2 linked regions of the Saccharomyces cerevisiae S288C genome follow. The protein of the gene in region 2 interacts with the protein of the main gene of each other region in a pairwise test. Each region holds a gene or a part of one and is shown on either strand. Other genes may lie near its edges.

The links. The genes of interacting proteins can lie anywhere in the genome.
Region 1: the proteins of SEN34 (region 2) and SEN15 interact in binary tests that used the Saccharomyces cerevisiae proteins (3 or more experiments, as listed by UniProt).

Annotation. Positions count from the first base shown.
Region 1 is NC_001145.3:388,278-391,985, reverse strand, and holds SEN15 (Sen15p), read right to left. Parts: upstream 888-3,708; coding exon 501-887; downstream 1-500. Other genes in the region: SAM complex subunit SAM37, read left to right, coding at 1-454; ferroxidase FET3, read right to left, coding at 1,254-3,164.
Region 2 is NC_001133.9:156,435-161,829, reverse strand, and holds SEN34 (tRNA splicing endonuclease subunit SEN34), read right to left. Parts: upstream 2,865-5,395; coding exon 2,037-2,864; downstream 1-2,036. Other genes in the region: YAR009C (truncated gag-pol fusion protein), read left to right, coding at 1-1,233; replication factor A subunit protein RFA1, read left to right, coding at 3,211-5,076. UniProt on the Saccharomyces cerevisiae protein: Constitutes one of the two catalytic subunit of the tRNA-splicing endonuclease complex, a complex responsible for identification and cleavage of the splice sites in pre-tRNA. It cleaves pre-tRNA at the 5'- and 3'-splice sites to release the intron.

The sequences.
Region 1 (3,708 bases), on a different chromosome or scaffold from region 2:
CCTTGAGGATGATGAAGAATTTGTAGAAAGTAAAGCAATGGAGTCAGCCTCGCAACTAGCACAATCAAAGACCTTCAAAATTGCGCATAAGAACAAAATTAAGGGTAAGCAAGAGCTACAACAGGTGAAATATAATCTTCAATTTGATAATAGACTACAGAGTTGCGTCAGCAATTGGTTGGCTGCCCGTAAAAAACTGGATGATTCTGTAATACTTTCCTCCGACCTTCTTTTCCTTGCAAATCTTTACGTTCAGTTAGGCCTACCTGATGGTAACCGCATCCGTTCAAAACTGGAACAAACCTTTGGAAGTGAATTATTGAATAGTATGTCGAACAAAATTGATGACTTCGTCCATAGACCAAGTAATAACTTGGAGCAAAGAGATCCTCAATTTAGAGAGCAAGGAAACGTTGTGATGTCATTATATAATTTAGCCTGTAAATACATATAATAAAAATAAACAAAATAATGCAGAAAGGTGTCTTTAAGTTCATTTTTCAATTTCTTTTCGGTTTTCGTACTCCTTTATAAACGAAGTAATAAACAATTGTACCATCATCGTTAATTATGGCCAGCAGTATTCTTTCAGTAGATGGACTACATAAGTGAGTAAATGTCTGGCTCAAGCATTCCAAAGTGAGAAAATTCTCTTTGTACTGTGACATATTGATGGGTAATATGAACTCTAGCGGGCGTGGCGATGACAAGCTATTTTCATGCTCTGTGTCTACATCGTTGCTCAGCTTGTGAGGCGGACGACCTCTCAGTAATCTCAGGCTATTTCCCTTCCATGATAAATCGTCTTGTAAAATTTCCACTTCCGTCCACATTTGGAAATAGAGTAAATTATTTTTTACTAGAGATATGATATCTGTCGTTGCCATTCTTATTTTCCTCAACCTCCTCGACGTAATTTCTCTTCGACAATTTATTATATCTTTCATATATTTCTGATGACTTTTTCATTTTCACTTTTTTTCAACCCATAACGGCTTTTTGTTCAAAAGAAACTGATCATGTCATCGATTAAAAGTAAAAGTATGCACATCAGCCTCGTGACAGATGAGGATCTCATGTCAAAAACCGCCAAGAAGCATGCATTATTGAATTTGAAACGTGGTAGATTATTAAGTATATGTCTATGTAATATTAAGTAAGACAAGGGCATTCACTTTACATGCAAATGCATTTGGAACCCTTGACCGAAAAAAAAAAAACAGGTTAACCGCAAAATACATGATCTTCCTTTATTAGAAGAACCGTTTGGCTTTAGTTAAAAATTGATGCTTTTCAGTGGAATGACGATCTTCGTTTACCTGACGCTCTTCATTTTCATCAACCTCATTTAGCAAGACTTCAGGGTCCACGTGCAAGTCTCGAATAACCTTTTCGGTCGCATCTTCCATATCCATCATACCATAAATTGCAATTGTGATAATACCAAGAATACCGGCAAAGCAGGAGAATGTCATGGCAATAATACCTTTTTTGGTAAAACCGGTAGGAATGAAGGCATGCTGAACATTTTCACCAGTTAAATCAGTTAAATCCAGTGTATTGGCAGCGGCGTTACCTTCAGTGGCCACAGAGCAACTCTGGCAAACTTCTAAGTGGTTTTCACTGAGTTGTTGAGAATGAGCATCTTGGATACCAAAAGGATCCTCCACGAGAACAAGACCCAAACCTTGCAACAAATGCCATTCGATATGACAATGGAAGAACCAAACACCTGGGTTATCGGCTTTAAACCTGATGACGAAATTGGATTGTGGTCTAACGTATAAAGTATCTCTTCTCATTGGGTATTCTGGGAAGGCAGGGTGGTTGTCCGGATCGAAACTGTGAGGAACTTCACCTAGGGCATCATCATATGTACGATCTCTCTGGATGGTTTGGAAAGCGTGACCATGTAAATGGAAAGGATGGGTACCTGTGTCCTGGTTATTTAGCACAATCTCCACGATTTCATCCTTCTCTAGGATGAAAGTGTGCGTGTTTGAACCGTAGATTTCGGAGTTGTTTGCTTGATCACCTGAAGACAAAACGGTCATCAAAGTAGGAACTTTTGGTGCAGTATAGGTGATATTATTGAAGAAGGCGTAATTCACACCGTTTTTCAAGTTATCCATAACAACGTCAACGGTAATCACATGATCTGGCTCGCCATAGATGGCTTCTTTCTCGTACGGTTGCAAGTAGAAATCGTCCAAGAAGTTATCAATTGAATCCACGTAATTTTGTGTGGGCAGCGCAGCGGTTTTGTTGTAGACCATATAAGAGGTTGCATTCAGCTGTAAATCACTTGGAATGACATCCAACATGGTGTCATCAAATTTCTGCATGATGGCGAAATTTTTGTCCGTGTCGTTTTTAGTGTGAACCAGGACTGTATATCTCTGAGCGACAGTGATGTAAAGCATATCCGTTACGTTCTTCTCGGTAGTGATACCGTCGATTTCGACCACGGTCATTTCGTGGTCCTCGATCCAAAAGTACTGCGAAACGAACCCACCCACGTTGACAATTCTCAAAAGATACGTCGTATCGGGCTGGACTTCCCATGTCAGATTCATCGTGTTGTTAACAATCAAGTTCTGTGGGATGGGCTCAGCACCTGTCGGATTATAAACACTCATGAACGACTTCGTCAAGTCCGTGACCAAGTCGTGGTACCACTCACTAAGCGATAAAGAAAGTTCCTCATCGTAATCGTAGGGGAAGCTATCATCCTTGATGATGAAAAGACCTTTCATCCCGTCTTCATATTGACCGTCCGTGTGTGAATGGTACCAGTAGGTGCCTACATTGTAGTCCACCGTGAAATTGTAAAGCATAGTACTGCCTGGCGCAATTGGACATTGCGTCAAGAAGGGCACACCGTCCATAGAGGCGGTTCCGTTTTGGAAGAGACCGTGGAAATGCATAGAAGTATTGGTGTTGTTCATTCCGTTGGTCAAGTAAATCTGCACACGGTCACCTTTGTTGACCGTTATATCTGGCCATGGGAACTGGCCATTACAGGTGATCACGGGACGGCTCTTTAGCCCATCAACGTTCCTGTAGTCCCAGCCAGTGGTCCAATTAAACGTGTGCGTCTCCGCTTGTGCTAGCGAGAGCATCGAGAAAAGCAAAACGGCTATAGAGAGCAAAGCGTTAGTCATCTAGTTCTAATTTTTTGCTACTCTTCCTTACACTGGGGTCCTCTTCGTTTCCTATGCCTATCCATCGCTTATAGAACAAGAGCTATAGGGCATGGCCTGCTTACATACATATATATATATATATATATATATATATAATCGCACTACATGCACGAGGCCTTGGCATACTCCCTCGAAGGATCGACTGTTTGAGTGCATCCTTCATTTTCTGTCGCAATTGGCGAGAATAAGAGCACCTGCAAATGGGTGCACTTTTGAAGATGGGCCTTGCCTGTTGGGCCTGCCTAAGTCAGCCTCGCCTAGCTCTAGGCGGAGGGTCTTTATCGGCGACTCAGCGTACTGTAGGGACCACCCCAGGCGCAACGGGCTGATTCGCACCCGGAAAGTAAAGCTTATTTCTGTCGGACGGAGAGTGTCCTTTTTCTCTCGCAGAAGACCATTTATTGGTCCTGAAACGGTATGAACATGTTATTATTCCTGTAACCGTGAAATAGGCAAGCCAAGGCATTATCGCAAAGAAGGCAGCACAGATTCTCGTATCTGT
Region 2 (5,395 bases):
GACATATCTTCGGCATATTTGTATGCAGACATCAAAGAAGAATTATACATAAGACCTCCACCACATTTAGGAATGAATGATAAGTTGATACGTTTGAAGAAATCACTTTATGGATTGAAACAAAGTGGAGCGAACTGGTACGAAACTATCAAATCATACCTGATAAAACAGTGTGGTATGGAAGAAGTTCGTGGATGGTCATGCGTATTTAAGAATAGTCAAGTAACAATTTGCTTATTCGTTGATGATATGATATTGTTCAGCAAAGACTTAAATGCAAATAAGAAAATCATAACAACACTCAAGAAACAATACGATACAAAGATAATAAATCTGGGTGAAAGTGATAACGAAATTCAGTACGACATACTTGGCTTAGAAATCAAATATCAAAGAGGTAAATACATGAAATTAGGTATGGAAAAATCCTTGACAGAAAAATTACCCAAACTAAACGTACCTTTGAACCCAAAAGGAAAGAAACTTAGAGCTCCAGGTCAACCAGGTCTTTATATAGACCAGGATGAACTAGAAATAGATGAAGATGAATACAAAGAGAAGGTACATGAAATGCAAAAGTTGATTGGTCTAGCTTCATATGTTGGATATAAATTTAGATTTGACTTACTATACTACATCAACACACTTGCTCAACATATACTATTCCCCTCTAGGCAAGTTTTAGACATGACATATGAGTTGATACAATTCATGTGGGACACTAGAGATAAACAACTGATATGGCACAAAAACAAACCTACCGAGCCAGATAATAAACTAGTCGCAATAAGTGATGCTTCGTATGGCAACCAACCGTATTATAAATCACAAATTGGCAACATATATTTACTTAATGGAAAGGTAATTGGAGGAAAGTCCACCAAGGCTTCATTAACATGTACTTCAACTACGGAAGCAGAAATACACGCGATAAGTGAATCTGTCCCATTATTAAATAATCTAAGTTACCTGATACAAGAACTTAACAAGAAACCAATTATTAAAGGCTTACTTACTGATAGTAGATCAACGATCAGTATAATTAAGTCTACAAATGAAGAGAAATTTAGAAACAGATTTTTTGGCACAAAGGCAATGAGACTTAGAGATGAAGTATCAGGTAATAATTTATACGTATACTACATCGAGACCAAGAAGAACATTGCTGATGTGATGACAAAACCTCTTCCGATAAAAACATTTAAACTATTAACTAACAAATGGATTCATTAGATCTATTACATTATGGGTGGTATGTTGGAATAGAAATCAACTATCATCTACTAACTAGTATTTACATTACTAGTATATTATCATATACGGTGTTAGAAGATGACGCAAATGATGAGAAATAGTCATCTAAATTAGTGGAAGCTGAAACGCAAGGATTGATAATGTAATAGGATCAATGAATATAAACATATAAAACGGAATGAGGAATAATCGTAATATTAGTATGTAGAAATATAGATTCCATTTTGAGGATTCCTATATCCTCGAGGAGAACTTCTAGTATATTCTGTATACCTAATATTATAGCCTTTATCAACAATGGAATCCCAACAATTATCTCAACATTCACCCATTTCTCAGAACCAACTATCTTCGATCAATTTGTATTAAAACTGCTAGCATATTATCATATATGATGTAAAAAGACGACATAAAGGTCGAGTAACAATCATCCGATATAACGGAAGCTGAAATCCGAGGATCGATAATATAGCATAATTACTTGTATGAACGATGCTAAAATATTTGTTCCTTCACATCTACACGTGGAAGTAAATGAACTGGATGTCAACAGTTTAGAAGAGCTTTTTTTTCGGTTCTGGTAAACATTCAATAAACTGTTTTGCTCCCACTAAATATAAATAAACATAATTATATGTCTAGTGATAAACAACTACTTTCCCGCTGAATGCATCAAAATATCAATGCAAATTTAAAAATTGTATTACACATATGTATGCTTCTGAAAAACCTTATAAATACATAAATTCTGAGAAAATAATTATACATGACTGATTCCCAGCTTAACCAAATCCAGCCCATTCTATTGAGAAGAAATGAGTTTCCTTTGTCTCTTCCGCAACACCGCCTATGACCCAAAGTTTTTTCACAGTCGTTCCTAGTCTTGCACCACTTATCATGGATATTAGGTCAATCGGCTCATTATGATAATCAATCGCATCTTGTATCGTCAGATGTGAATGGAAACGAAGAGGATCACCAGGGTATGCTATAAACTTCCCACCAAAACGTCCACCTGGGGACAAAACGTACCCTTGATCTCTCAATGCCTTGTATAAGAAATAGGTCTGCATTTTTCCTGCCTGTCTGTACTGCTTAAATAACAAATCACTGATATCATCGCGGGATAAGCTGTCTGAATCACTCCGTATGTCTCTTAAAATCATAGAGGTATTAGCAATGTCAATGAACAAAGAAGATTCAATTAGCTGGTCATTATTGCTAGATTTATCAAGCCGTTGCAATTCTTCAGCTGTGGTTTTATCATTGATTCTACCGATTTTCTTTAATTTTGCAATGTGTTCATCCTTTTTGAACTTTCTCTGATATTCAAATGACTTGTTCAAACGATCGTTGACAATTTTAGATAGTTTGGCGCCCCGCTCTAATGTTATTCCCTCCATAATCTCATCTCCCTCTTGTCTTATTAATTTCACATCGGCAAGATTGTTCAAATGCAGCCACAGCACATCTTCTAACATAAGCCTCAAAGGTACCGACAAAAATACATTTTGCTGTGCTGCAGTAGGCAAAGTTCCAGATAACACACCACAAATACCCCATTTCCTTAGAAGTTTGATGTGATCTATGTCAAATACTAGCGGTGGCATAAAAACCTCCTCGCCTTTTGCCGTTCTTTTTGCATATATGTTAATAGCTATGCGCGTACCACCTTCTTCAGCCATATACGAAAGGATCTATGCTAATTGGGTGGATTTCTTATCGCATCACTTTCTTATTCTCTAACTCTTCTTCGCTGCTCAATAAAATATCTCTGCTTGGAAAAATGTCACGCGTAAAAATTAGACGAGGCGACAAAAGACGCGTGAACTAACATAAAGGTTTACTTGAACAAATGTTATCACTTTAAGTTCTACACGTAAAACAAAAACTATTCACTCTTCTTATTACGGTAAAGGCGAAACCAGCAAGAAGACCAGATTATACTTACAAGAGATGAGCAGTGTTCAACTTTCGAGGGGCGATTTTCATAGCATCTTCACCAATAAGCAAAGGTACGATAATCCCACCGGTGGCGTTTATCAAGTTTATAACACCAGGAAATCTGATGGGGCTAACAGCAACAGAAAGAATTTGATCATGATTTCCGATGGTATTTACCATATGAAGGCTCTGTTGAGAAACCAAGCTGCATCCAAGTTCCAGTCAATGGAACTACAAAGGGGTGATATCATTCGCGTGATAATTGCAGAACCTGCTATTGTCAGGGAAAGAAAGAAATACGTTCTTTTAGTAGATGACTTTGAGTTGGTCCAGTCGCGTGCTGATATGGTCAACCAAACTAGTACTTTTTTGGATAACTATTTCTCAGAGCATCCAAATGAAACCTTAAAAGACGAAGATATAACTGACAGTGGTAATGTTGCCAATCAAACAAACGCCAGCAATGCTGGTGTCCCTGATATGCTGCATTCAAACTCAAACTTGAATGCAAATGAGAGAAAATTCGCCAATGAAAACCCTAATTCGCAAAAAACCAGACCAATTTTTGCCATCGAACAACTGTCTCCATACCAAAACGTTTGGACTATCAAAGCAAGAGTTTCCTACAAGGGAGAAATTAAAACGTGGCACAATCAAAGAGGTGATGGTAAACTATTCAATGTCAACTTCTTGGATACCTCTGGAGAAATCCGAGCCACGGCGTTTAATGATTTTGCTACAAAATTTAACGAAATTTTACAAGAAGGCAAAGTATACTATGTATCAAAGGCAAAACTCCAACCAGCTAAGCCCCAATTTACTAATCTAACACACCCTTATGAACTGAATTTGGATAGAGACACTGTTATAGAAGAATGTTTCGATGAAAGTAATGTTCCGAAAACCCATTTCAATTTCATCAAACTAGATGCTATTCAGAACCAGGAAGTAAATTCCAACGTAGACGTCCTCGGTATTATCCAAACTATAAACCCACATTTTGAGCTAACTTCAAGGGCTGGGAAGAAATTCGATCGTCGTGACATCACAATTGTTGACGACTCTGGGTTTTCTATCTCTGTTGGCCTATGGAATCAGCAAGCCCTTGATTTCAACCTTCCTGAAGGTTCTGTTGCTGCCATTAAAGGTGTTCGTGTGACGGATTTTGGTGGCAAATCTTTGTCTATGGGATTTTCTAGTACCCTGATTCCGAATCCAGAAATTCCTGAGGCATATGCCTTAAAGGGTTGGTATGATTCCAAGGGCCGCAACGCAAACTTCATCACTTTAAAGCAAGAACCCGGTATGGGTGGTCAATCGGCTGCTAGCTTAACAAAATTCATTGCTCAGCGTATTACTATTGCTAGAGCTCAAGCTGAAAATCTAGGAAGAAGCGAGAAAGGTGACTTTTTTAGTGTTAAAGCTGCTATAAGTTTCTTAAAAGTTGATAATTTTGCATATCCTGCCTGTTCTAATGAGAATTGTAATAAGAAAGTTCTGGAACAGCCTGATGGTACTTGGAGATGTGAGAAGTGCGACACCAATAATGCAAGGCCAAATTGGAGATACATCTTGACAATATCAATTATTGACGAAACCAATCAACTATGGCTCACTTTATTTGACGACCAAGCTAAACAATTATTGGGTGTTGATGCTAATACATTAATGTCTTTGAAGGAAGAAGACCCCAACGAATTCACAAAAATTACTCAAAGTATCCAAATGAACGAATATGACTTTAGGATTAGAGCGCGTGAGGATACATACAATGATCAAAGCAGAATTAGATATACCGTTGCTAACCTACACAGCTTGAATTACAGGGCTGAAGCCGACTATCTTGCCGATGAGTTATCCAAGGCTTTGTTAGCTTAATGTATCAAATAATCAAGTACTATTTAATCTATGTAACATATGAGAAATGTAAAAAAAAAACTTCTATTTCGTCAAGTTTTTGAAGGGCGGTTCAGCATCTCTTGATGACTGGATATGAAACTACACGTTCAGTCATATGAATTTGAACCCATAATGCACAAATGAATAAAAATGCTAACAAATTCTAATTAATGGCATGGTACTAACACCCAACAATTTACCGCCCTTTAGGTGTACAGCTTCAAATAACAAAGCTTTACAAATTCACCTTCAACATTTACGTTCAGTAGTATGAAATTACCATCATGACGTGCTCCTA